7 linked regions of the Nothobranchius furzeri genome follow. The protein of the gene in region 7 interacts with the protein of the main gene of each other region in a pairwise test. Links are inferred from orthologs where the notes say so. Each region holds a gene or a part of one and is shown on either strand. Other genes may lie near its edges. The genes, in order: rfx6, stx12, glyctk, neuronal calcium sensor 1, arnt2, trim54 and dtx2.

Region 1 (3,500 bases), on a different chromosome or scaffold from region 7:
AATCTGGTCTTTTGTTTTTAACTCACAACTTAATAAAATTATTGTATTTGTTGACACATGGAGGTTGTTTTTGTGACTTAAAAGAAGATAATAAAGTCTGAGTCAGCCTTAACCAGTGTATAAATTCAGGTGAAAATTTTCATCTATGAATAGTTTAAAATGGTTTTAAAATGTCATGAGAGAGATTGCTCTGAAAAGTAGTAAATGAGCCTTGACACAGTTTTTTATGGAGTTTAACCCAGATGTTTTTTGTATAATGTCACTTTCAGATGCCAGTAAAGCAACGTTCATGGCGTCACCCAGTTCCTGCTTTCTAGCCAATCGCAGCAAGGCATCTGCTCCCTCTGACCAATCAGTAAAGAACGAGTCTCTGGGAGAACACACCTACAAAGCTGTGTTCACCAATCAGCAGCAGGGTCTGGAGGCGAAAACTGGGCCCTACCAGGGAAACAACACATCTGGGTTCACGGCTGCAGGTGAACAAAAAACAACTTTTAAAGTTTGTGACCAACGGTGAATCTGCAGCAGGGAAACCTCTGCTTCAGCACACCTGGTTCTAATCAGCAGGTGATTAACAGACTTGTGCATGATGAGCTGCTGAACAGGTGTGTTGATGCAAGAGAACGATTAAGGCCCTGTCTCAATACTCGTGCTGCACCCCATGGTCCTCTGCAAAGTGCACTTGGAGGAAGTTCACGTAAGGCTTCGAGTGCGTAGTACACAAGTGTGCAAATAATTGCCGAGCTGGGACAGCAAACAATTATTTGACTAAAATTACTTTCATTATCATCCACATTAAATCTCATTTAACATACCTCAGAACACGCCTTCCCTAAAGATAGGAAGTTCTCGTGGATGAGAAAAGAATCATGTGAATGCGGTTAACCTTAACCTGATTTACTGTGCCCTGTATGATTGTGCATAAGTGCACATGATCTTCTTGTCACTTTTAACATTACTGATTATCATAAATAATTATTATTAGCCAAAGAATAATAATTCATTTCAGTAATTAAACACAGTTAAAATGAACCATGATGATTATTTATGAACATTGTAATAGACAGTGAAAAGAGTTTATTAAAAAGGATTCTTTTAAATCTTGAAGTGTCCTTCGTCTTGCGGATGGAACAGCAGTCAGATAAAGGCAGTCAGATTAAAGGGGTGGTGGACAGACATTCAGTTTCCTGTGAAAGAAACACTGTAGATTGTCGTAGCAGCCAGGTCAAAGTGACCCAGGCTGTGTGTCTGACCTGAGGTCAAGAATCAGGCCATTCAGTGACACTACAACGTCCTTAGTAAAGCCCATTTGAAGTCGGGCAGATCCTCGAGCAGTCTGGTGCAGAATTTAATTTAAATGTATGTAAAAAAAAAAATTAAACATGATGGGAGAGCAGAGCCAGAGTCTGTAGGTCGAATAAAAGATGCTGATGTAGATAAAATAAATATTATTTACTACAATTTTTTGTATAATTGGAAACTATGCATAAATTTGTGTTTTCTAGAGACACCCTGACATCTTTAGGAGACTCATTCTGTGACCTTGGAAGTTTTAAAATGTCTCTTATTGAGAATAAGGATATGTGTAAACATTATCGGCACTTTCTAGTTTTCAAATGAGTTGAAAATGGTGTAAAATCTCCCACCGACTTGAAGCAGAACCCAAAGTTACTTCCTGTTCTAAACAGGAACAAAGTGTCTGAACTTCATCCATCGTGATGTTTGAAAGTTTCTCCTCTTCATCTACTCTCAGGAGGTCAGATGGACTTCTCTCAGGTCAGCGGCCCCCTCATGACTCCTCCCATCTCTCCAGCTGCGTTTGTCCACCGTGGCTCCGTCATCAACCAAGGGCCCATGGCGGGGAGGCCCCTCACATCCTCCTGCTCTTCTTCCTCTTGCTCATTCTCCTCGTCCTCCTGCTTCTCCTCTATCAGTGCAATGACCCAGCCCTGCCAATCCTACTCAGAGACCCTGTACCACAGCTTACCTCAGACCAGCACTGGCTACTTTCCTCCAGCCAGCAGCCCCTCTGGTCCAAACTACCAGACTGCTCTCAGGTCAGATTTACTCTCAGCTGCAGATTTGTTATGTGTGCATCTAAATATTTAAAATAACAAATCAAATTTGGTTACGTTTGATAGCTTAACAGGAAACAAATACAGATTTAATTTTTAATTTTATGTAAATTAAACTTTCCACATGATTGCCTGAATAACTGAAGAAGAAACCAGAACTTTGTCTATTACAAATATAATCAGGGTGTTCTGATTTTCAGATCCCAGACCCAGAACCAGTGTCAGTCTCCTCTGGCGTGCCACCTCCCTCGCTACTCCTCCATCACTGACCAGACCCTCGCGAAAGACATCTTCTACAACCATCATCCTGCTCCTCTCCATCACTCCTCCAGCAGCTCAGACTGCTCCCTGACTCCTTACGGCTCAGTTGTTCCACCAACATCCAGCTACGCCCCCGGCTCGGATCCTGTTCGGACAGAACGAGGACTGGACCAGCAGGCAGCCGCTCAGGTCCTGGATCCTGGTGAGGGTTTTGGATTTGTGGAGGGCAACCTGAACCTCACCAGTGGAGCCTGTCAGGAACAGACGTTCTCCGTTACAGGACACAGCGGTGAGGAATCACAAACTGGAATGTTAACTTCTCAAATCTCTTATTAATGAGCTTCTGCAAAACAGAAACAATCCTGTTGAACTGCTCAGCTTCTATTTATGAAAAACTTATCGAGAGGTGTTTTTGTCTTATCTGTTCAGACCAGTAAGTTTGTTTGTACTCTAGGTCAAATTCAATCAAAAAATAACAGTTTCCAACGTCCTTCACAATCAAAACCTCCACAAAGGTCATCAAATGTAGCATAGCAAGATCTTAAAACTCATAGTTATTGTTTCTGAAAATACCCTTTTTACTTAAAATTTGTCTGAAAAAATGATTGTTCAGCCGCTTTTCCATCACCACCATCTTTTGTTTTAAAAAGTGCTTTCAGCTATCAAAAGCACCCAACCACTGAACACAGCACACATATACACTCACTGGCCTCTTTATTGGGTATATTTGTCCAACTGCTCGTTAACACAAAGTACTGATCAGCCAATCACACGGTGGCAACTCGATGCATTCAAGACGGTCCGCTGCAGTTCAAACTGAGCTTCAGAATGAGGAAGAAAGGTAATTTTAGTGACTTTGAATGTGGCATGGTTGTTGGTGCCAGACGGGCTTGCCTGAGTATTTCAGAAACTGCTGATCTTCTGGGATTGTCACGCACAACCGTCTCTATGGTTTACAGAGAATGGTCAGAAAAAAGGAAAACATCCAGTGAGCGGCAGCTCTGTGGGCAAAAATGCCTTGTTGATGTCAGAGGTCAAAGGAGAATGGCCATACTGGTTCGAGCTGAAAGATAGGCAAGCAGGTATGCAGAAGAGCATCTCTGAATTAACAAAACATCGAACCTTGTGGCAGATGGGCTACAGCAGCAGAAGACCACACCGGGT
Region 2 (4,014 bases), on a different chromosome or scaffold from region 7:
ATTTGCAGTAATGTGACGTCATCGGCAGTCGAAGGACCCCGAGCCGATCCTGTACCGACACCGTGTCCTCTACATCTGGATTTTTCTTCCAATCAGATTTCAGCCTCTATTGATGCCAGGGAGAGTCCAATCTGCCCAAAGCGTTCAGAATCAGTAGAACGGGCCTTTGTTAGTTATACCATATAGTAGTGGTAGAGTGATTTATCGCCCAATGCCAATATACAGTATCTCCTTAGTAAAGCAGATTTAAAGTCAGGCACATCCTCAGGCAGCCTGGTGCTGCTGCAGAGTTATGTTCCTGAGTAACTTCTGCATAACAAATAATTTTGTTTGATTCACTTGAGTTAGATGTCTGATTTTAACACTGAGCCGTGCACAAAATTAAGGTTTAACAGTTGGTTAAATTACAAGTTCAAAAACTGATTTAGCTTCAGAAATTTTGTGTATCAACTGATGTCTAGATATCGGCCATCAGCTGACCATTAGCTCTGCTTATCGGCATCAGTAATAGAAAATCCAACATTGGTTAACCTCTACTATGGGATCTGGTTTTTTTAACCAGTGAGCTTTCAGAATCACATCGCTGAGCCAGGTAGTTGGCTCACGGTGACATCAGGGGTTTTTTGTCCTCCGATTGGTCCGACGGTCTGAGAGAAGCTATCTCTACCAAGTGTCGCTAGCAAAACACATTCTTGTGAGCCATGCACATTAATACTTTTGATGTTACTTATTTTTTATGCCCACAATGGCTGATGGAACGGGATGAATGGATTTGGTCTCAGGAAGTATTCCATTTTCAAGTCGTACTTTCTCAGAAAAGCTGGACATGCTAGCCCGCTGACGGAACTAAAACACAGAAATCAGCTTTATATCACTTAGGTTTTCCTGCAAAAAGTGAGAAGTAGGGGTGCACCGATTGCAGTTTTTGGCCAATCACCGATCTTGAGAAAAACCTGACTTGCCGATATCGATTTTGTCTTAACGAAAAGCAAATTATATCAATGTTTCAATTTCCTGTCATTGAGAAAACCAATACAATACTCATTAAACAATACCAGTTTCAACTGGACATGAGGTAATGTTCTCAAATGTAAATTAACATATTTAGCATTGTTGTTTGAACTACAAAATCATATTTGTTCCTTTAAGCCAGGCGGGCACTGTGCGACTCTTTCACTTTTTTGAGCCGATTTTCCCCTCGTGCGAGAATCTACAAGATCGGGGCAAGTTTTGTGCAGAGCGTCGTGTAGTATACAGGTGGTTACGAGAGGCAATTAACACCACGTGACCAGCTACCTATCAGCAATCGTGAGCTCGCACTGATTTCTGGCATGTTTGATATTTTGCTCGTCCCTCGTGAGGGTTGAAGCAGCGCTGCGAGTGGCTGCAACCCAAAAAGTACCAAAACCGCTCACGGCGCATGCGTCATGCGTCAGCACGGCTTGCCAGCTATTTCTCTATTAACACATGTCGTTTGTTTTTATTTCTACACTGTTTTTCACACACAATGACAAGAAAGCATGTTTGCCATGTTTATGTCAAATTAAACAGTTCACAAAACACTGATTTACTTTCTTTCTTTCATTATCCTCATCCAACCCCCATAAATCCCTGTGTGTACTCCTGCAGCACTCCAGAGGGACAACAGACATCAGTAACAACACAAAAAAAAATTCCCCTCATAATTATTAGTAATTGTTAATAATAATTAAGTGACACCACACCCTGTTACATACTCACTCCCCCCTTATTATTAAATAATTTTGTTGTAAAACGAGAAACTGATCATTCATCAAGAGACCTGCTGTTCACACCTCTGAAGAAATAACATTAAAGAAGCCAAAAAGACTGAAGTGCGACCCTGGAGAGATGATGATCAGTGGATAATACCGTGGGGATAACAAACAGGCTATAAAGCTCATTCACATGGTCATCACGTGACCATGTGGCATGTGATTTCCCACCAGGCTGAAGCGCGAGGAACAGGAGAAACCTCTTACTGTTCTGTGTGATCTTCTGGATGTTTGAGCTGCAGGACTGGATGAGAAAGCTGAAGTCCATGTGAACCGGGCGGAACTCCGCTTTTCCGTACATGTTTGCGACTGTTAGGAGCTTCCTGACACGTTAAACTGGAACTGCAAAAGAAAATGGAACAATAAACATTGCATTATTGAACGATTTGGCTTAACGACATAATGGTTTAAGTAAGTTTTAAGGGTCTAAAGATTTAAACTCGTTTCCCTTTTTGACTCTGTCACGCGTATGAATGACGTTTGATTATTTCAGTAATGAGCTCAAAGGTCCAATCAAGTCAGATTATCACTTATTTATCACCGCTAAGCAGTTAAACTAAATGTAAATGTAAACAAATGTCCGAACACCGAGTTAGCGAACAGACCAGTTTGCTGTTTAAACGCCTTTAAATTAACCCCATAATTAATCAATAACAATAAGGAACGGAACACTTCAACAAACCGTCGTATCTGTTTAGCTCAGCTAGCGTTGTGTTGGTAGAACGGAGAAGCTAAACCTTCGTTTTAGGCTAACGGTGGCGAACTTGTCTACTTTCGTCTTTTTACAGTAAAAACTGCTCGTAAACTGGACACGCAGAGCGTGGTCAATTAAAACAAAGACGAAATTCTACATTAAAACAAGGCATCATGCTGTAATTTGCTTACTAATGTATTGAAATCGATACATGGGCGTAGATGACTCGTCCTCCGTTAGGTTGATGCTATATTGCATTAGCGCTAAGACCTCACAGACCAACACACCCTAACAACCAATACCAGGATGCTACTTCAACAGCTCAACCAATCACAATGCAGCGTCCCACCCATTTTATCACGGCCTCCAATCATAGGTCAGAGAGCCAAACCTACTTCCTGGTCCGTGGTGTTTTTTTAATTTATTAATTTTTTTTACAGGTTTTATTCAGAAAACACATTCAATAAATCCATGGATCACATTTTACAGTTGTTTAGAATTGCAATAATATACATGCAACATTAGGAAACTATTAAACAAAAAACCAAGAAATAAAAAAAACTGACGAAAACATATATAACTTAGAAACATAACACTTAGGGGTCTGCTGTGTCTAAGTTGAAATGATGAAATAAGTTGATGGTCTTTGTTAGTTTGTTGTTCTTCATTTTTAATTTTTCAATGCTGTTCCAATATTTCATAAGGTCTGTAATTCTGAAATTATAGAAGGGGATACTTTTCTGAAAAATCATTTTATGTAAATAATATTTTGCTAAAATAATGACTAAGTTAATTATGTATTTTTCATTGGATGATAAATGAGGGTTAGTAACAATAAGAAGTATTTCATATTTGCTTAAAGAAATATTTTTTTTGTAACTTTTTGGAAATGTATCTTTTTAAATGGAACCAAAACAAAGTTACATGAAAGCAATCAACAAAAACATGTTCAATAGTTTCTCCCTTACAACCACAGAAAGTACATATGTCAGAAACATTTGGAAAAAAATACAGATGTTTGCTTTTGACGGGTAATATCTATGAACAATTTTGAATCAAATTTCTTTTATCTTATTCACAATAACATATTGGTGAGGTAGCAGAAAGATCCTGTTCCAGAGTTTTGTATTCATAAAAGTCCATCAGTGTTTACATATCGGGGTTGAGACAGGATCAATTACTTTTCTAATAACAGAATTATTAAATTTCTTATCTGTGATTGGAATCCCAGAAATAGTTGGAGGTCTGGCTGTTGCAGATAAGATGATGTTTGATTGTATGGTCTGTGTTAAATAGAAAATACAAACATAGATGGATTTAATTACCATGTTATACTCTTCTTGTGAAGTATTAATGTTATATTTTTCTAAGAAGACTTTGTGGGATAATGTTTCGCCATTAGTATTTAGTAGATTATTCACAGTGTTTACATTGGGGCAGCAGTAGCTCAACAGAGCGGGTTGTCCAGTAATCGGAAGGTTGCAGGTTCGATCCCGGCTCCGGACAGAGAACTCTGCTGTTGTGCCC
Region 3 (4,271 bases), on a different chromosome or scaffold from region 7:
TCAACAAATAGCAAAAATGTAAGTCAGCTCTAGTGATTCTTCAATCTTCTGTGCTTTTGAATTAGCTTATTTTAATAGGAATTGCTGGAACCAGTAGCATATGCACATCCATGACATTGGTGCAGGTTAGGCCAGGAACCAGTAAACGCTTTCCATCAGAGAGATGAGAAAAAAATGTGTGAGAATCATTGTCAGTGAGAACATTATCGATGTAAAGCCCTTGTGCCTGGGCTTCGTCATACAGGCCCCCATCAGTGATGGCCCCTGCTGCCTCTGTGGGTCCATCCTGGCCATCGGTGCCACCACTCAGGAACACGGGTCCTTTAGGTGGGAGCTCCAGGCCTCTGAGTTCCAGTCCCACCCGTAGAGCCAGCTCCTGGTTTCGACCACCTCGTCCAGAGCCCGTCAGCTCCACCGTGGGTTCCCCTCCAGCTAACAGGCACGTGGCGCCCCATCCCTCTGTGCGCCCTTCGCCCAGTACCTGCATGGTACGACACAGATCCCAGCTCTCCACGCCGACTTCCGGCCCAAGCCTCAGCACCTCGGCTGCAATCTCTGGAGGAGGTTCCTCACGAGAAGAGGCAAAGCGAGCTAGAAGACCGTAAAGTCTGGAGACAGACTTCACATCTCCACACACACCTGGTGAAAGCACCACAGGGCGGAAACCTAGGTCTCGAACGCAGCATCCTGCACACTGAAGGGCGACGCTGTTGGAGCCAATCACGACATTAAGAACATCTCCAGATGCTTCAGCTTCATCCTTGTTCTCTTTCCACCGGGGACCTCGTCTCGCAAGGACGTCTTTTACTGATGCTGACAGGGAGTCTGGCAGCTTGTAGCGTTCAAGGATGGACAAAACCTCCTCAGGCCACACCTCACTTCTTACGGTCGGACCACTAGCTATTAAATCAAGTGGATCCCCAATAACATCAGACAGAATCAAAGCAACCACCTGAGAAGAGAGGATAAGTTAGCTTTTCGTCCATAAATAGTTTAACAGGAAGTGTGTTACCTGCGCGGGGTGAGCATAGTGTGCGAGCCCTCCTCCCTTTAACAAAGAGAGGGCTCGACGAACTTTGTTGAGCTCTTGAATGGTGGCGCCAGCAGCTGCAAGTCGGCGAGTAACATCCAGTTTATCTTGCAGAGAGATCGGTGGTATGGGTGCAGGTAGCAGTGCAGAGCCTCCACCTGGGTACAGATGAACCCGATGTTGGAGATCACATTATTAAATGTGATGATCAGGAACAGTTTTGTTAGTTTTACCTGAGATCAGTACAAGTAGCAAATCATCTTCTGTCAGTTCACTGGCTAACCGCTTGATGCCTTCAGCTGCTCTCTGGGCGTCGTCGTCAGGTAAGTTGTGTTTAGCTCCTTCCATCACTTTGATTCGACTGTTTTCCTTTAGCAGGAGATGGCTGCGATAGAATTAAGAGCTTGATTTATTTTAGTTCTTTGGCATAAATTGATTCCCTCTGAAGGTCTTTCCTTACCTTTTCCCGTGCTGCCGTAACGTCTGCTGAATCCCATGAGGCACACTTATGACGCCATTCACTAAATGATCACCCACGATCCTCTCTACCTCCGCAGCCATTCCCAGAACAGCTTTTCCAAAGCCCACCAAGTGCAGGTTGTGTTTGAGTGTGAATCTGCGACCGTCAATAAGAACTGAATCTTCCGTGCGCTCTATGCTCTTCCTGATTACAGTGTCTGGCTGCACAGCTTCCACTGCCGCTGCAAAGACCTTCCGGGCCCGTGAGTCCATTGACATTTTGCAGAATGTAGGTTTTGGCCGGCCCACGAGGGCCAGAATAGGCTGAGGCCGGATCAGGGAAAGGACGCGGGCCATTGATGGATCAATGGGTCTGAGAAATTCATGAATCAGGACAAAGAATGACAATAAAAAACCTTTAACATGTGAAGACATTTGAAATTTATTACATGCCTCAAAGAAACTTGGAATTAGTACACCAACAATTCCTCGTTGTACAAAAACGAAAGAAAGGAGGTGTGGAAAAACCTCTGCATCTAATTTTATCCTCATCCATGTGCATAATATCTTGCTTTTGAAAAGCAACCATAAAAATACTAATCCAATAACTAAAACTTGTATATTTGTTATCAACATTCTACTTTTGCAAACTTTCACTCCAATATTGAGCTCTCTGAGATTCCTTAAGACTGCCTACCTGTGTGGGTCGTGAATGGTGGCATTTAATGCCTGCAAATTCCAGTGGAATCCCGTCGTGTGTGTTCTAGCTCAGCAGTGGAACAAATATCTGGCCCGACAATGATTGGTGTTGTTTAAACTCTGTTTAATGATTAACTTTAACGGATCATAGACCATGCTAAAGTGCTCTTCATCCAGTTGAGACATATTATTTTACTTGAACACGTGTGAATCAAATTAAATTAAGTTTAAAAGGCAAGTTACCCCCAAATCAACTTTTTTTTCTTCTGATAAACTAAACTAGTGTCTAATTGTGTAGACGTGCATAGTCAATATTTTGGCACTTTAAAGCATCTTAGTTAAAATTGAAATAATTTGCCTAAAACTGTCAATGTTGACAGTTTTGTTGCCAAATACCTGAAATGTTTCTATCCATGGAGTCAAAATTCCTGCTGGAACTTTCTTCGTTACCTCTGCGTTCATGTTCGAACATCAAAATTCCACACTTACTATTATAAAAAATACGTATTAAACGTCAAAAACACAATAACTGTCTTGTGTTTAAATCGGAACACTCTGAAATTTCAAAGTAAGATCAGCTAAAAACGCGAAAGATTTGATTATTCACGCTGTTCTTCACTGTGTTTCTGCTGTTTGTATTGGTGGTAATTCTCGCGATAACACGCTGTCTCGTCACGTGTTTTTTCACCCGTGTCAGGTGACTTCCGTTATAGAGCGACGGACATTGCGTTTCCCTTCCCTTCTGTGTTACAGGCGGGATTTTGTCGTTGTTTCTGATTTGAGTTCTCGATAATTGTGACTTGTAGTGTAACTGTTGCTCACATATCCACACGAATTTCCTCAAGTTTACTTTCCAAATCAAGTTCAAAGAGAACGAGGGCCTATTTCCCCTCAAGACAACCATGAAGCTAACGGACAATGTGCTACGGAGCTTCAGGGTTGCTAAAGTATTTCGTGAGAACTCAGACAAAATTAATTGCTTCGATTTCAGTTCGAACGGAGAAACTATTATTTCCAGCAGCGACGATGACTCTATAGTGTTGTACGACTGCCAGGAAGGAAAGTAAGGGCGATTTCTGCTGAGTTTACTTTTTGGAATTAGCTTCATGCTAAGCTAACACCGAGGCCTGTCGCACTGCGTAGGACTCAGCGGTCAAATAAAAATACGCGTTTGAATTACGCTAGAGTAATAATTATGTGGTTATCTGATTGGTAAAATATACCCGTAAATAAAACCCAACATGTTAAAATTTTTTGTAATAGTTAGCTTGAGTGATGGTGTAAAGAGGGCAGAAATTTGAATTGTTAAGTTTTATAAAACTTATTTTACAGCATCATCAGTAATTTTGAATCTAAACGAGTATTCACATGAGCATGTGCGAGCATTATTTCATATTTAGCTCCAATACAATTATGTGGATACATTATTTTTAAGGTAAATGAGAGAAAACCAAATGTGTAGAAGATTTGGATTAGCATGTAATCAGATTTAAAACAAGAACGGCAGAATATAGAACTTTAACAAAATAGCAGTTGGTTAGTTTTATTTGTTCTGATTAAAATTCTTGATGTTAGTCTGATCACGTTTTGTTTGTTCTGATTAATTACAGGCCCAAGAGGACTCTGTATAGTAAAAAGTATGGAGTAGATCTGATCAGGTACACACATGCTGCAAACACTGTGGTCTACAGTTCCAACAAAATTGATGGTATGTAAACTAATGTCATTTCCATAATTACATTCATTCAACTGTGAATGGGGATGAATACTTTTCTTGGTCTGTAAGGGTTTGTTTTTTTTAGCCACAGCATCATGATCTGTTGTATTGACTGAACTCTACAGGATGTTTCTCCACCTCCAGCTTCTCCATCACAGCTCATCATGCTGCTCACTGTAGTCTGAGGTAGTTGTTTGTACAGTTTGAGGGTCTGTGATTCTGCCCCATACAGGAGCTAACTGTACAAGTGACTGCCTTGCCCACGGTTGAGTGTACTCATCACATGTTGATGCTGGTGGATTCGTTTTAATCATTTACTCCCGCTGCAGGTCTTACATGTTTATTGACTGACACGAGTTTAATGAT
Region 4 (4,203 bases), on a different chromosome or scaffold from region 7:
TTTTACAGTAAAGCATTAAAAAAGATTTAACTTAGTAAATCTACCAACAAAGAAGAGTTCTGCAGCAAAACCCATGAAACCACACGACAGCTGACACAAACTCAGGTTCCTTATTAGGGCTGCACAATATATCATAAATATATCGTTATCGCAATATCAGCATGCACAATATGCATATCGCAAAGAACAGGTAAATATCACAAATGTTTGCTAAACATAATGCATTCTGTCAACGAAACGGAAGCATGATGCTTTTTTTAACAAATCAAATAGAGCTCTTTACCCATTTGGCCAATTGGGTGGGTTCTCATAGGTTAGATGCCCGCCCCCGAGGCGGACAGCACTTAATTTAGATGGTTAGCAAACACCTGAGTTAGCTTTGTTCTGCTCTTTTTGCTGATTCTGCTTTTCCCGGGATCAACTGATTGTCTTTTCTTGTTCATTTTCTTTTTACCTTTCTTCACATCCTTTGCTTTTCTCATTTTTATGATTTTTTTTTATTTCTTTGTTTTTGATTATTTTTGTTCTTGAGTTAAGTTTTTATTTATCGCAAGTAATATCGTCATTGCAATATTAATCATTGCTATCGAATACCGCAGGTTTTCCGTGCAGGCCTATTCCTTATATTTAAGTTTCCACATCATGATTTAAATATGCTGATTCCAACTTTCTGTCTGACCTTAACGAATCTGTTTGCTACACATTGAACTGTAAATTTAAATCAAATAAGCCTGACATTTAGCTGCAGCTCTGTTCTATCAATAATGACCAGAGTGAAGAATCCCTCTAGGCTGTAGAGAGGGTCACAGAAGGTGGAATTTGCAGCATCAATATATGTATTTTCATATATTAAACTTTATTTAACCAAAGTTACAAAGTGTTTAATAAAGTTATCATTTTTATAAAGACAGGCAGAAACTCACAGTAGGTTTTCCTTGTCAGCTCCTCCACCACCTCCGGTTTGAGCTTGCTGTTTGATTTTCCCATGATCTTCAGCTCTCATCCACACCTCCAGAATCGCTGTGGGACACGGCACCTGTTACTACCTCGCTCCAGTGTGCTCCTCTGCCAGAAACATGCAACAACCGTGGGCTGATTTAGGATACAAATGACACTGTTTTCTTAAAAGGCAAAACACTATTTTGTTTTGGTCTGTGTCGATGGAGAAAAAAAAGAAGGGGGGGAACTCCCATTCAAGCTACGTGAGTCTATCCTTCACTCTAGCTGTGGTCATGATCTGCACTGTCATCATCCCTGGCACATCAGACATCAAACCCCAGGGGTTTTGTGAGGCTGTTGAGTCTATCTGAGCACCACTGAGCGTCTGAGCGTCCGCCTCACTTCTTCACAGCAGTCCGTGGGCGAGGAGTGGCTTTCGGATGCGTTGCTACCTTCGTCCTTGGATACAAGAGTCACTCAAATGCTGGGTTAAGCACACTCTGCCTCACAGTCGCTCACTGTTCTTTTTACTCCACCCACCCCTCCTTTCCCACCACTATCTCTACTGCTCAGCGTACATTACAGCAGAACAGAATCCCCCCATTCTGAGATAAGGAGATGAGTACACTAAAATGCAATTAATAGGCCTTAGTTTTGCTCAAAGAGCATCAATTCTATTAACTAAATAAATACCAAGCATGTGTCACATGTTTCTACTGTTTTGAATACCTGCTCTACAGTAAAAAAGGTATCTGGTACTGCTCTTAAAATAAGCATTGTGCACTCTCTAGAAAGTTTAAGCAGATCGAAGAGTGACAGTTTTTTTACTCCTACATTCTGACTCATAATTTTCCCTCCCTCCCTGCCTCTCCACAGAATGGCTTGGTGATTTCCCTCCTTGTCACAGCAGTCAAGAGAGATAGGGATAATGGAATTTCTTTGTGTCACAGGCCTGGTATTGGCATGCACTGATTTCTAACAACAGCATCTGTCTGAGACGTGCTACGCAGAAAACTACTGCACCTTCAGTGCTAACATTTGCTCTCTTTGTCCAAAGTCCTTCTAAGGGATGCCACGCTGGTGATCACCATCTTTTGTTTGCACAACCGTTTTAGATCCTGGAAGCTGTAAAAATAAACAAAACAGCAGTTAGGATGAAACTGGCAACCTGTGATGGTTTTACTGGAAATTGGAATGGGATGGAATGGAATTCAAATAAAGGAAAAACACTGAGAAGCAGATGACTTGTTTTTTTTTTTTTTTTTTTTTTTTTTTTACCTCTAGAAGCTGCAGAGGCTAAACTCTTCCAGTGTAGGCTACTCCATTAAATTAGTTAATTAAATGGTTCTAAAGAAACCGAAAGTCATAAACAGTAAAACTCCTTTACAAACGTTTGACAGGTGTGTGTGTGTGTGTGTGTGTGTGTGTGTGTGTGTGTGTGTGTGTGTGTGTGTGTGTGTGTGTGTGTGTGTGTGTGTGTGTGTGTGTGTGTGTGTGTGTGTGTGTGTGTGTGTGTGTGTGTGTGTGTGATGGCAGCAGCAGGTGGGATGTTGCCTTTCGGCACCATAGCAACGCAGTTTATGGCTACAGGACAACAGGGACAATGCGAGGCTCGCTAGTCCACTCGCCACGTTTGGTACCCACGCGCTGTTCAGAGCTGCCAGTTGACCGTAAAAATAAAAATGCTTCAAGCTTTCGGGAAGAAATACTTTAGGATTTACCTGCGCTACTGGAGTATGAGGACTTGGTCCAGGCTGACCCACAACAGAGCGTATAGAAAGCAGTGAACCGCTGTCCTCTTCCGCCGAGCGCGCGCCGCCTCTCGCTGCTGCTAGCCCCGGCTGACCGTCAGTGCTCCTCTGATGTGCCGCCGTCAGGGAGTGACGTAGCTGCTGCTGCTGGCCCCCGACAGAGTCGCTGACGTCGCGGTACCAGCAACGGTCATACACAGACTCTTTGTGTGCCTGCACAGCCTTTACACGTGTCATTTTTCCATACCGAGAAAGGAGAGCAGACACACACCACGTTTACTATCAAGTCTTCACTGCGAAGTATAAAAAGGTGGTTTAGCTAGTTTATCGTTACCAGATTTTTTTTTTCAGTGGCCCCAGTCTGGTCCCATTTGTGAAAACTTTCCGAAGTTTTTTTTTACATATATTTAAATCAGGCACCCCTGAATTAGTTTAAAGCGTAATTATCTTATCCAAAATCCATCCATTTCTGCACTTAACAAGTGCATCATCCATGCACCTATGCATACATCATCCAGCCCTGCACCCACGCATTCATCAGTTCATCCATGCGTCATTCATTCATCCATGCCCAAATGTGCAAATACATAGTTCGGAATTGGTCTGGACCAACGGACTCAATACCTTATTTGCACGTCCATGAGACGTTAGCTGTTTGCAAGGGCATCCATCCATTCATGTATCAATTCATTTATGCATCTATTTGTCCATCCATCCATCCATCCATCTATCCACCCATTCATCCTGCCCTTAGAAATATCCGTGTCACATTAGTTATCAATTGTTCTATTTCTATTTGCTTTTATTTGTCCTAGGTGTGAGAATAATTAAAACACATTTTTAGCTTGGTTTCTTAACTCAGCTTGGTAATTTTGTTTGTTGTTTCAAGTTTTTAATTGGATCTTAATAATTGGATGAGAAAAATATATGGGGGTGTCATTTGAGCCACAGGCTTGTTAATTTGCTACAAGGGCATGCAATGTCTCCGTTACTGGGTTTAAAATATATTTGCACTTATGCAAGTGTGATCATCAACTCCAATTTTCATCTAATTGATAAAATGAAAAGTGAGTCTATTTTGCAGCAACAGTCAGCGTTTATCCTTTGCAATCACTAAACGCAAAGAGAACATCACAGTTCACTGCAACATATTTATGCTGATTTGAGTACAAATCTAAAGTTCCCAAACTGAACTATAGCCCAAATGTTTTTTTTGTAATCATGAAGACATTTTCCTGGAAAAATTCCATCAAAAATGCTATCTCCCTTCAGTCACAAACATCATCATAAAACTGTTTTCAGATGTAGTTCCTCAGATTTTTTCATTAAGATTACTGATCTATGTAATGCAGCATCTCCCACTGGGACAAAATGCAAAACAAGAATGATGCAAACTGATTTCAGCTGTACTTGTTAGAAGAGATGGGAAGAATCGTTTTGAAGTTTTGAACATGCACTGGTGTCTTATTTTCCTAAAACAATGATGCAAGAACAAGTCCTTTTCCCACAAGCC
Region 5 (4,204 bases), on a different chromosome or scaffold from region 7:
TAAAATATACCGTAAATCCTCTAATATTAGCCTGTATTTAATTAACTGCCGGGTATCATATTTTGGCCGGCGTCGGAGTCGGCGGAGGTGAATAATGGCCGGTTTTTTATTGTGGCCGGGTGGAATGTGGTAACAAGCAAGTACGGGGGGCGGTTGTGTCATCCGTCTCACTTTTGATTTGCCAGTGATAGACCGCGAGGGTAACTTTAACCGTGCGGAGACGAAGAGGAGGCGAAAATTTGATATCAAGTTCAAAGAGAACGTGCTGATTATGCTGCAGAACACTCTGGGGAGCAGTAGCAGGGGTTGTATGAACTAGTCACTAGTCGACTTCACCGCTCTATAGTGACTTTTTATGCCTGTCATCGACTAGTCGCTGTCACGTGATAATGACCGGCAAGATGCAGTCCTCGGAAAAGACAGCAGCCTGCTGTCAGCAGGTGACAACCTCCTGCGCGTCGGGAGGCAACGCGCTGTGCCAGAGCGTCGGTACTGACACCCGCCGTAAAACGGACATTTAACCAAATTGTGACCTTTACCCTCTTGCAATTTTACATTCCCCTCACCCCCATCCTAACCTTAACCAGCTTGCGCATGCAAAGCTCTGATTGTTGACGCGCTCCAGACATCTGCGTCCTGAGCACGGCCACAGTAACATTATCAAATCAGGTGTCGCCACCTCAAAAACTAATTTAACACGCGATCGTTCATGTCGGCTCATTTCCTTTTATGTTTTCTGTCTTTAATTCTTTTATATGTGCCTGATGCGTTTCGCTGCTGTGGATCGGGACGCATCACCTGTTTTGTCCTCGGTGACGCACCTAACTGATGTGGCCGGCAAGCACCCCGCTGTTTTTGCGGTCGGTAGATCTTTTAGAATTGCAGTTCAAAGGTAACTCATGAGGTGAATATATATGAATCCAGGCAGCAGTTTTTCTTTAGGATTGAGAGGAGATGCAGGAAGATAATAAAACGAGACAGGACATAAAAATAGTCAAATAAAACAAGTTAGTTGTTGTACCTGCTGTTGCAACAAAAAGACACCATTGAAGGTCATCAGAAGTGAGGAACAGAAAATGAAATAATTATTTTAATGTTTAGAGCAGCAGGAACTCTGAGAGGCTGCAGGCGCATCAGTGAGTTTGCGGCCGCTGCGCAGGGGGAGGGGGGAGATGGCTGAAGCAGAAACTACCGTTGTTAAAAGAAATGTGTTTAACTTTGAAAATGTGGGCTCAATTTTAATTGTCAAAAACTCCAGCGAACCATTAGTTCATTTTGCTCAAATAGAAATAGAGGCCTGCCTCTAATTCTGGTCCTCCTTCCAATAAAGGCCTGGAGCTTGAGTAAAATACAGACCCGGGCCTGTATTCAATTCAATTCAATTCAAGTTTATTTATATAGCGCCAAATCAGGACAAGAGTCATCTCAAGGCACTTCACATAATAAACATTCCAATTCACAGTTCATTAAGCCAATCAGAAATAATGTTTCCTATATAAGGAACCCAGCAAATCGCATCAAGTCACTGGCTAGTGTCAGTGACTATACAGCAATCCTCATACTAAGCAAGCATGCAGCGACAGTGGAGAGGAAAACTCCCTTTTAACAGGAAGAAACCGCCAGAGAATCCTGGCTCAGTATAAGCAGCCATCCTCCACGACTCACTGGGGATCGAGAAGACAGAGCACACACACACACACACACACACACACACACACACACACACACACACACACACACACACACACACACACACACAATAATGTGTCTATAGTTCTATTGTGATGTCTTAGTAAATATTCTGTTTGGTTAGTTCAACTTTATTGTATTTATCCTAGTGGATCTCTAATTAAATGGGTAAACTAGCCGTAACACGTCCAACGTCAAGGAAAGCAATATAAGCATTATTATTATGTATTAGAGGATTTACGGTATACAAGAAATATACGATGATAATAATAATCATTTTATGTATGTGTAACAGTGATGTTAGGGCTAAAAGGCAGAAGATACGTTTTGTTTGTTTGTTTTCCTCATTATATTGGAACTTCACGTTGTCCCACATTTGGTGAGTGTGTGTGTGTGTGTGTGTGTGTGTGTGTGTGTGTGTGTGTGTGTGTGTGTGTGTGTGTGTGTGTGTGTGTGTGTTAGCTTAAGTGACCATGCTCCTGTAGACCCTAACCAGCTTCACGAACATAAGCCATTGCTGCAGAAGCTGGTTCTCCTGGTCAGTGAAGGTAGCAGCATCACCGGGTCTGGTCGGAAGCAGCAGGAACCACTCACTGCTCTTCCTGCACTATGGATGGCTGAACCTCCGTAACTCCTTCATCCTAGTGCTGGGATGGCTCTAGCAGCGCCGAAGCCCAGCCTGAGCTGAGCCGTCCCCACACCCGTCTCAGGACCAACCGGGACTCAGTCTGTCCAGTTTAACGGTTACGAGCCGCGGTTCCGTGGACACCGGGCCCAGCAGCCCCGTGAAGCCACGGGAGAAGCGCCACAACCACACAAAGACCGAGCTGGGCCCGAACAGAACAACACGAAGAGGCCGAGCCGGACCGGGTGGGGGAAGGGGACAGATGCTGTGGCGGCCTGTGGGGGCACCGGCCTCGGCCTCTCCCCCCCCCCCCGAACGTTCACTTACCGGACGGGTTCACCGCAGCCGGAGTCGCCATGTTTGCGCCGTTTATGTGTTTGCGATGTTTCTGTGAGGAGCACCGATGGAGATGACGCACAATACAACAGAGAGCTCCGGGTCAGATGTCTGAATGGTAACACCGCGAGACTTTAGAGCCGCATGAATAACGGGCGTTAGAGCCGGTGATGATGCAGCGCCGGTACAGGTGTTGTAGCGATGTCGTTATCCCCGGTAGCGCTTCCCCGCGACGGGAGCGCGCGCCAGCGCCACACCGTGTCCACCCAAGTGAGAGGAGGGTTTCATTCGGGTTGGGCGACATCACAGAAGGATGTTGTTGCTGTTCTGGTGGAGATGACCATCAGGCTCCTTTAGTTCTCCATGAGGTTCAGCCTTACTGCTGGAGACAGCATCCACACAGAGGCAGTGCGTTATTCTAGTAAAACACCTTCCTGTAGCTGAGGCCATGGGCCTACACCTCAATAAATAACACCGGAATACGAGTAAGCCGGCATTATTCACAACCCAGAATCATTTTAGTCAGAAACAAGCAAGGAAGCAGGGCCGGTTCTAGACAGGCCCATGTGAGGGGCAGACAGAAGAAGAAAAGCCTGTGTTGGTGGTGGAGGGGCTCTGGATGTTTTTGTCATGTGATGCATTTTGTTCAACTTTGACCTTCCCTTTCCTTTTCTGTCCCTGAAATTCATTCATCACGTCATAAATCGAGCAGGGGTTCCCAAGCTGGGGGTCGGGACTCCTAAGGGGGTCCCCACAATTTGGTCTTTGATGAGGTTGTGAGGTTATCAAGATTTCATTTGTAAAAATGACATAAAAGTCCCAATAACACACCCAACATTATACATTATAACTCTGTATGTCTGCATAAAAGTGGTAAATGATCTCATTTAAAGAGTGTGTGTGTGTATGAGTTGAGGTTGGGGGACCTGGCCTGTCTCGGACACAAGCAAGGAGGTCCTCGAAGAAAACGCCCCTGGACTACAGCACTAACATGTTTATGGTGTCCCAAAACCCTCACCAGACTTCAACTCATCCACAATTCTGCTGCCTGTCTCCTAACCACACCCACTCCTGTGGCCTCATCACTCTTGTCTCCTCGTGACCTCCACTGGCTTCCGCTATGGCGTTAGACCCGTGCCACAACCTGTGCACGCGGATTGGGTCCACATCGCGCGTGTGAACGGGACTCGCGAGTGAAAATATACATGGCGAGAGGTCATTTGTGCACTGAGAGGGAGCAAACTGTGTCTGTGAGCGCACAAGGATGTGCACAAGTGACAAGCCTGCGTGCGCGCGTTGCCAACGAGCACACGGCAGAGGAAAACGTGCGCGCGCGGCAGCCTCTCTGCGCGCTCGGTTTCTGACTTCGCTCGCTCAGCTGTTAAGGGGTTTTGGTACTCTGGAGGCGTGGCCTGTGGCAGATCTTCTCTGTCCTCTGATTGGTTAGTTTACCCCGCACTTTACCCTCTACCTCATTGGCCCATTGGCTTCCTGTCGGACCAAAATGATGGGAGCTATATAAAAAAAATCTGATACACAGTAGTTGTTGTCATA
Region 6 (4,080 bases), on a different chromosome or scaffold from region 7:
GGAGAGGAAAACTCCCTTTTAACAGGAAGAAACCTCCAGAGGATCCTGGGTCAGTATAAGCAGCCATCCACCATGACTCACTGGGGATGGAGAAGACAGAGCACACACACACACACACACACACACACACACACACACACACACACACACACACACACACACACACACACACACACACACACACACACACACACACAGAGCAGTGTGCTAGCCGATGGCCTCCTCCATGAAATTATTATATAAAATGGTTTGTCAGTGAAGATTGTTATTTAACTTATATTTTTTCTGCCTTCTGTTCTGTATTTGAAGCCATACTATGTAACTTTTTCATATTTTTAAATAATTTTCTTGAGTCAGTATGTGCTAAAATGATCCATTACAGGGTTAATGAAATGCCGCTCAGACCTTCAACTTCGGACTGCTGGGCACCTGTTGGACTTGGGGGGAAAAATTGCTGACATACCTGGTGCTTCAGTCTGCTTCCAGCACATTTCCTGCATGTTTTAGATTATGAACACACCTGATTTGTTGATGTAGTGATGACTCACAACCATGGACATAATTTTCACTTTAGAAGTGGGGGGACACGGGGGGGGGGGGTCTTCACAGTATGTTCTAATGGGAAACAGGCTTCAACACAATGGTTGTTTTCTGCTTGGTCCTAGAGCTCAACCAGTGTCAACTTAATATAGCGTAATATTGTCTTTGGATGGTAAAAAGTGCAGGGGTCAAAACTTGACTTTGGAAAAAGTTGGGGGGGGGGGGGGGGGGGGCATGCGTTAAAGAAATAATAGGCTTGCTTTTCAGCACCCCCTATAGTCTGAAGCGAAACCAATCTCGCTGTGCATTCTTCTTTTTAACACTTTAATCTAACAGCCAAAATGTCTCCCAGAGTTCCTAAGTGTCTAGAGGAGTGAGTCATCACTAAACGAAACAAATCAGCTGTGTTCATGATCGAAAACATGCTGGAACCAGACAGCAGCGCCCGGTAGGTCAGCTCAATTTTTTCTAAGTCCCAACAGACCGGAACACGATGGTCTGACCACAGGGGGTGATGGGGGCATTAACCCTGTAAAGGGTTATTTTAGCATTGGCTCAAGAAAATAATTTAAAAGTATGAAAAAGTTTTAAAGTGTCCATTTAAAAAGAGGAATGCACAGCAAGAAGATAGGTTTGATTATTGATTTGACCAAAGATAATTAATACGTACACTAGGGGGTGCTAAAGGTAAGCAAAACTGCCAAGTGTGCCTTTGTGTGCAGTACTGGAGCTCCACAGGGTACGGCGCTCTCACCCTTTCTGTTCACCTTTTACACCTCAGATTTCACCTACAACACCAGCAGCTGTCTGAGTTTGGGATAGATCCAGACTCTCCATCTCCTCTGATCATTTCTTTGTTTCTCTCAGAGAAACAAACTAATTTCTCCTCCTGATGACATCAAATTAAATAAAAACAAACTTTAAATTGATCCTGTCAGCTGTTTCAGTCGAGGGAAGCGTCTCGTGTTTCTGTTTCAGCATCTCGTCCTGCTTTATTTTCATCCTCCTGAGTGACGCCATCAAACATTCTAGAGCTAATTTTAGCGTCTCCTAAGAGGAAAACAAAAGATAAAAATGAATTTACTGAGTCAGAGTTGTTTTAGGATGTCTGTGGCTCTGATCAGCTGGACGTTCTCAGAACAAAGATGATTAGATATGATGCCGTGTAGCATTACATCTCATAGATAATCTTGTTAATCACTGCAGGAATCTAAATGAACTCTTCGTGTTGTCATGACAACCATTCACAGAGAACTCAAGATTTTCTTTGAAACATAAAAAAATAAAATTATGAACAAAATAAAACTTCTGAGTCAGTTCAGGAGAAGAACTCAGGATTTAAACAAAAAAAACAACAAGATTTTACTATTTTCTCCCAAATCTGAGCAAACAGGAAGTGAGTTGTGGGCTGGTTTAACTGGGACCAGTCAGGAATCAGCTGTGGGGTTTAAGGAATCATCTGAAGTGTTAACAACCAGGAACGTCTGTCATCGTGTCTCCAGGATCTTCTCTGAGGTGTCGGACTTCATGGAAACATCAACAGAGAGTTCTGATAGTGGTGACCCTCCTGCCACACCCGGAGCTCCCAGAAACCCGATCCAGAACAAACACTAGAGCTAAAAATATCTGATGGGAGGGTCCGTAAATCCGAGCCAGACGGGCTTTCAGAGGGGGAAGAATAGAGTCACATCTACAATAAAAACCAAACATCTCACAAACGCCAGCAGAATCTTTACCTGTTCGCCATCTGAGGCAATGAGCTTTGCTTCTGGGTTCAAACCTCCAACACCTGGAAGTTCTGAGCCCGGTACCCGTAGCAAAACCACGATGGAGAACCTGGAGAAACAGCTGATCTGCCCCGTGTGCTTGGAGATGTTCTCTAAACCTGTGGTGATCCTGCCCTGCCAGCATAACCTGTGTCGTGGGTGTGCCAACGACGTCCTGCAGGTGAGCATGAAGATCAACAGGTAGACTCATCAGAACCCCTGATCCAGTTCTGGTGATCCTGTGGGACTTACCCTCAGTTTCATGTTCTTAGCTGACACCTGGTGTGGTCGTCTGCTGCTGGAGTCCACCTGGAGCAGCTGGTGTGGTCCTAAAGGAACCACTGCTGTCTTTCAATCATCAAGAACCAGTCTGACCAGCCTCTGTAGACCCTAGATGGTTGTGGGTTCAAATCCTGGTAGATCAGACCATCATGCCTGGTACTAACAACATTCCACCGTAAATCTCTATTCTGATGCTCAGTTTGAACTTCAGCAGCAAACACCTTCTCTGATAGATGATTGATTTAAAGGAGACAAATTATGCAAAACTCACCTTCTGCATTTGTTTTGCGCCGTCGTGAGTCTACGGACTCCATAAACAGTCCAGGCAGGAAGACCCCATCCATCCATGTTCTGTCCGTCGTTGGTTTCAGGAATTACGTGCCTAAAATCAAGAAGTCCCAGATTGTGATTTCAAAAATGGGCAAATAAGCATAGAAATACCTTCACATGTCGACTCTGGAGGAGCGGCAGCTCTACTCTGAGCCCCTGTTGGATATTTGAGCTCCTCACCTCATAGGGACCAATCAGGAAATTGGTGGGTGTGGCCAGCAATGTTTTCTCAAAGTGACAGAGCCCTGAAATGGCTCATTTTGGAAAGTACTGAAAATGATAAAACTGCTGAAATTGCTTTATGTGAGAGAGATTTAGTGCAAAGAACTTCATAAACATCTTCGGTATTGACATAGAGCAACTACATTTAGCTAGAGTTGCTTTGTAATGTATATTTTGGCAATACTGTTGCCATGGTAACTCAAATTGTCATTAAAAGTGATTTACCACTTCTTCCAACCGAGCCAGTCAGTGTGATGCACAGTGTGTGCAGGTGCATGCTTGTATTTGAGCTCCGTCAAGTTCGAGGTGCTTTTTATTGTGGCTGTTTGTTAAAAGCGTTGCCATGGTAACACTAATTCCAAGCTACAGGCCCTAAAAAGGCTCATTTTAGCAGATTCAGACAAAAGGGTGCCTTTCTGCATATTAACACATCATTGTAGCTTTGTTGTTTTATTTATCACCATAAACAGCCATAAAATCATAAACATAAAAAAATAACTCTTATTTGTTGTGGTGAAAAAGTCAGATCACTATTTGAAAAACACTTTTTTTTAAATCACCTTGAAAGCGTTTGAATTAGTCCTCCAATGCTGATATGAGTGAAGGTTCCTTTAATTGTTTTCATTTTATGATTTAAAGATAAATTATTTGTTATAATAAACATATATACATATATATATTTATTATTACATCGACATATGTCGATGTAATAAACTTAGAAAGCGTATAAGATGTTCCTGAGAATCATCGTTTTAAAAATGACTCCAGCTGACTAACCTCAACCCATTAAACAGCCTCCTGTTTATCATTAAGATAAATGATAAAATGTCTTTTAACAAAAATCCAAGAAAACCAGTTTTTGTCTTCAACCAGGCCACCAACCCTCTGTGGCAGCCTCGAGGCTCCTCCAGCAGCGGACGCTTCCGCTGTCCATCATGCC
Region 7 (3,500 bases):
CTATAATTTCCAGCTATTGCCTGGAACCGGTGCTAACCACGTCGCAAACGTGGGATTAGCCACCCAGTTACCATAAAAACTGCACTTCCCCATGGCGCAAGCTCCCACTAGCTTAACCAGCTAATGTGCTCATCTAAAAATGGCCCCCTTTCACAACCAGCTGAACGTGTACGGTTCTGCATACGCCAACATCGTACACTAAAAATGCTGAACACAAACTAGAAATTCACGAAAATTTTATGGAAATAAAAGAATCTTGTTTATTGGGTCTTTGGTAATTTAAGACCTTTGGAAACTGGATTTAAGGATTATTTGTAATTTTTAAGGATTTTCAAGGCCTTAAATTTGGAAAAGCAAATTTAAGACTTTTTAAGGACCCGCAGATACCCTGTCATAACCCCAACCCCCCAAAACACCTGAAACTTACACTAAAACGTTAGAATAGCATACCGATTACCATCATTTATACACCATTATGTTTCCAAATCCCCATTCTTGCCTTATAAACAAAAATAACGTTTAATATTCTATGCATTTTTATTTCTTTGACTTGATATTTAATCACATTTGATCAAACACAAACGGCGTTAAGAGTCGAACTTTAACATCGTTTTGCTCCTGGAGCTAACATGCATGCCTGGAAATACCCCGTGCTATTTTTAGAACCTTTGGATCGAAGGATTTCTGTCATTTTAAAGGCCTTAACTAAAGAAAATCTAATCGAGGACTTCTTTAAACATTCTATATCAAAACAGAACCGAATCCTTTGTCTTAATTTGGACACTTGAACAAGAACTGTATGAACAACGATTCTGTTTGCAGGCTTCTTCCTGATTTAGGCTTTAAGAAAGCCCAAACGTCCCCCGTACCTTGGTCCCGTTGTTGTACATGGCCAGCATGCAGAGCATGTGCAGAGTGTGTCCACATGTGATGAACTTTCCCACGGTGTCCGGCAGGACGCTCTGAACCCCGTCCTCTGAGGACGGCGGCGTCTCGTAGCTGGACGGGCTGGACAGCTGGTCCATGCAGATGATGCAGTCCTGGAAGAGACGAGTCTCCGAGTGTTAAAGCTTCACACAACATTTCCCATCATGCCTTGAGCCGTGTCTTAAAGGGATATTACAGCCATCTTGAAATGCATTTATGTGTAAAAGTTCTAAAACAGCCTCTGTTCAGAGAAATGGTGTTTTTGTGTTGCTGTCCTGAGAGCTTTTGTCTTTTTCAATTTCCCTCTACTTCAAATAAAACCAACAAATAGAAATAAACTCCCTTCAGAAGGTCTAAATATACCTTTAAATACATTTGGGACTTGTTTACTTTAATGCAACAACACTTACCTCCTCGGGAACCTCAGCCACCACCTCCATGTAGCGCCGGATCACGTCCTCAGAGCTCCGAGTCAGCACTGGCGGAGAGAGAAGTCGAGAATGTGCTGAAACTAAAAATCAGACGGGATGGAATGAAACTATTTTTCTCCTGGAGAGACGAACAACTCCAGCACTTCTACTCATCAGGTGAGTTACTGTAGGAGGGTGCCGTCAGAAAGAACGTTAAGAGTCAAGGGTTGATGGAAGTTAATGGAACCAGGACACATGAAATGCTGATGGACGGCGAAACGGGACCCAACATGAACTAAAGGGAGTCTCCGTGTTTCTGATGGTGAGGGAGCTCGTTTAGTTTGTTGGGAAAGAAAAACTGGCAAACGAAGGTTTTTCTTCCCACAGCCACCGAGTGCTTTCAGCTCCAATATCTGTTGGTTATTAACGATAAAATGTTGCAATAAATCACATAAATAACTGTGAAAACAGACAGTTTGTGGCGCGCAGCGTCTTGTAAATATCCACGCATCACTTTCAACATTTCTTCTTTATAATCTGAAGCCAGAAGTTGCAAAATCCAATCAAGTCCATCAAATAAAGCAAACCTAGTGATGCTCACACGTCCTAAAATCAACCTAATGAGACATTTTTAGGGATTTATTAAACTGAGGCTCCAGAATTTCACAGAATATTCCTAATCTTATTAAATGTAGTATTTTTGAGGACAAATAAAGTTCTGACGGCTGAAGCTGCTCCTGTCCTCGTCTTTTTGTCCTTTTCATTAGCTTCTCTGAGGTTTCTGCAGACCTGAGGTCTGGAACACAAACTCAAACTCGTCGTTATCATAAACGTCCTGCTGGCTCAAAGGTTTGACCTTTTCTCTCCTCCAAAGCTGAACCCCCGCTGAAAATCCACAGGTGAGACATTTTTATCACCTGTGTCGCGTTATCCTCGTTGTCGAGGGACGCAAAACAAACGGCAAGGTGGATTAGAGTGAGGACGCATGGAAACGAGTCGTGATGGAGGATGAGATGTTCCTCAAGCCTGTGGAGATGAGTGGACGGGTGGAGGAGGATGGAGGTGAAGTGGATTATGGGTATTTTTGGGTGAGGTAGCTACCTCTCCTGTGCTGCCTCTTTGCTCTCCTAACTGAACTGCTGCTGTGGGGCTTGTTGGGTCTGCTGGCTGAGGGGAGGAGAGGAGGAGGAGGAGGAAGAGCGAAGGGAGCAGGCGGCGGCGGCTGATGCTGCTGCTGAGGGAGGGGGGCGGAGGTGAAGTGCACGCCGAGTCCCACTGCTGACATCAAAATGGAGGCCATGCCTGGAGCGGGGTGAGGCGGGTGAGGGTGGAGAGCAAGTGGAGGGATGCAGGAACAGAAAGGAACAAATCAAAAGAATGAGAAACGTAGCAGCGGCCGACGCCTCCGCTGCAACTCAGGCGTGTGTGTGTGTGTGTGTGTGTGTGTGTGTGTGTGTGTGTGTGTGTGTGTGTGTGTGTGTGTGTGTGTGTGTGTGTGTGTGTGTGTGTGTGTGTGTGTGTGTGTGTGTGTGTGTGTGTGTGTGTCAGAGCAAAAACCAGAACTTGGAGCTGTGACTACCCACAATCCTTCACTCTGAATGAGATCAGAGATGCACAAACGTAAACAGAATGTTTTCTGTCTCCGCCGGCTTCAGTTTGAAAACTCGCTCACAAATGGAGCACGGCGACGGCGGCGGCGTTTAAGGAAGTCGTGTTTTCATCACAAGTTTATCCAAACCAAACGGTGAAGTTTGGCTCTGGTTACCGTTAACGTTCATTACCGCCTAATGAGGATTAAATCTGCGGCGCCGCACCGCTGACCTTCCATTTGAAATGATTTACTCGTGTCCCGCTTTGGAGCGTTCCACTAATGAGGTTCCGGTCCTCCGAGCTGATTGGAATTACTCCGTCTGTTCGGAACGCGCCGGCTAAATTAAAAGGCGAGCAGCAGGAATTAAAAAGGCAGAGAAAAGAATAGAAATCAGCAGCTTTGATGAATATTTTACCTGCAAACGTTCGGCGAAGCATCCAAACCTGACCTCAGCGGGACAAAAAGGCGTGGCTGGAAGGTGGCGTCAGAATAAAAACTCTTGCAGACGGACCAGACTGGACCCACCCGAACGCTGTCACGTTAACAGGATTTGTCCGGTTAGGCGTAAAAAA

The links.
Region 1: the proteins of dtx2 (region 7) and rfx6 interact in binary tests that used the Homo sapiens proteins (3 or more experiments, as listed by UniProt). The two-hybrid records come from large-scale screens. The link is inferred for Nothobranchius furzeri from reciprocal best matches to the Homo sapiens genes DTX2 and RFX6.
Region 2: the proteins of dtx2 (region 7) and stx12 interact in binary tests that used the Homo sapiens proteins (3 or more experiments, as listed by UniProt). The two-hybrid records come from large-scale screens. The link is inferred for Nothobranchius furzeri from reciprocal best matches to the Homo sapiens genes DTX2 and STX12.
Region 3: the proteins of dtx2 (region 7) and glyctk interact in binary tests that used the Homo sapiens proteins (3 or more experiments, as listed by UniProt). The two-hybrid records come from large-scale screens. The link is inferred for Nothobranchius furzeri from reciprocal best matches to the Homo sapiens genes DTX2 and GLYCTK.
Region 4: the proteins of dtx2 (region 7) and neuronal calcium sensor 1 interact in binary tests that used the Homo sapiens proteins (3 or more experiments, as listed by UniProt). The two-hybrid records come from large-scale screens. The link is inferred for Nothobranchius furzeri from reciprocal best matches to the Homo sapiens genes DTX2 and NCS1.
Region 5: the proteins of dtx2 (region 7) and arnt2 interact in binary tests that used the Homo sapiens proteins (3 or more experiments, as listed by UniProt). The link is inferred for Nothobranchius furzeri from reciprocal best matches to the Homo sapiens genes DTX2 and ARNT2.
Region 6: the proteins of dtx2 (region 7) and trim54 interact in binary tests that used the Homo sapiens proteins (3 or more experiments, as listed by UniProt). The two-hybrid records come from large-scale screens. The link is inferred for Nothobranchius furzeri from reciprocal best matches to the Homo sapiens genes DTX2 and TRIM54.

The regions. Positions count from the first base shown.
Region 1 is NC_091742.1:9,783,778-9,787,277, reverse strand, and holds part of rfx6 (DNA-binding protein RFX6), read left to right. Parts: intron 1-269; coding exon 270-476; intron 477-1,753; coding exon 1,754-2,057; intron 2,058-2,275; coding exon 2,276-2,625; intron 2,626-3,500. UniProt on the Homo sapiens protein: Transcription factor required to direct islet cell differentiation during endocrine pancreas development. Specifically required for the differentiation of 4 of the 5 islet cell types and for the production of insulin.
Region 2 is NC_091751.1:25,527,620-25,531,633, forward strand, and holds the start of stx12 (syntaxin-12), read right to left. Parts: upstream 2,801-4,014; 5' UTR 2,679-2,800; intron 2,604-2,678; exon of another isoform or gene 2,476-2,603; intron 2,136-2,475; 5' UTR 2,095-2,135; coding exon 2,001-2,094; intron 1-2,000. UniProt on the Homo sapiens protein: SNARE promoting fusion of transport vesicles with target membranes. Together with SNARE STX6, promotes movement of vesicles from endosomes to the cell membrane, and may therefore function in the endocytic recycling pathway.
Region 3 is NC_091743.1:64,675,131-64,679,401, forward strand, and holds the start of glyctk (glycerate kinase), read right to left. Parts: upstream 2,801-4,271; 5' UTR 2,585-2,800; intron 2,401-2,584; exon of another isoform or gene 2,187-2,400; intron 1,863-2,186; 5' UTR 1,847-1,862; coding exon 1,491-1,846; intron 1,416-1,490; coding exon 1,264-1,415; intron 1,189-1,263; coding exon 1,013-1,188; intron 953-1,012; coding exon 62-952; 3' UTR 1-61. Other genes in the region: wdr82 (WD repeat-containing protein 82), read left to right, coding at 3,091-3,251, 3,799-3,896.
Region 4 is NC_091757.1:35,613,229-35,617,431, reverse strand, and holds the start of neuronal calcium sensor 1, read right to left. Parts: upstream 2,801-4,203; 5' UTR 2,661-2,800; intron 2,065-2,660; 5' UTR 1,963-2,064; intron 1,066-1,962; exon of another isoform or gene 1,021-1,065; 5' UTR 988-1,020; coding exon 924-987; intron 1-923. UniProt on the Homo sapiens protein: Neuronal calcium sensor, regulator of G protein-coupled receptor phosphorylation in a calcium dependent manner. Directly regulates GRK1 (RHOK), but not GRK2 to GRK5. Can substitute for calmodulin. Stimulates PI4KB kinase activity.
Region 5 is NC_091749.1:5,894,150-5,898,353, reverse strand, and holds the start of arnt2 (aryl hydrocarbon receptor nuclear translocator 2), read right to left. Parts: upstream 2,801-4,204; 5' UTR 2,673-2,800; coding exon 2,642-2,672; intron 1-2,641. UniProt on the Homo sapiens protein: Transcription factor that plays a role in the development of the hypothalamo-pituitary axis, postnatal brain growth, and visual and renal function. Specifically recognizes the xenobiotic response element (XRE).
Region 6 is NC_091742.1:14,249,008-14,253,087, forward strand, and holds the start of trim54 (tripartite motif-containing protein 54), read left to right. Parts: upstream 1-1,280; 5' UTR 1,281-2,169; coding exon 2,170-2,487; intron 2,488-4,013; coding exon 4,014-4,080. UniProt on the Homo sapiens protein: May bind and stabilize microtubules during myotubes formation.
Region 7 is NC_091750.1:69,056,490-69,059,989, reverse strand, and holds part of dtx2 (probable E3 ubiquitin-protein ligase DTX2), read right to left. Parts: intron 2,640-3,500; coding exon 2,439-2,639; intron 1,439-2,438; coding exon 1,338-1,438; intron 1,041-1,337; coding exon 870-1,040; intron 1-869. UniProt on the Homo sapiens protein: Regulator of Notch signaling, a signaling pathway involved in cell-cell communications that regulates a broad spectrum of cell-fate determinations.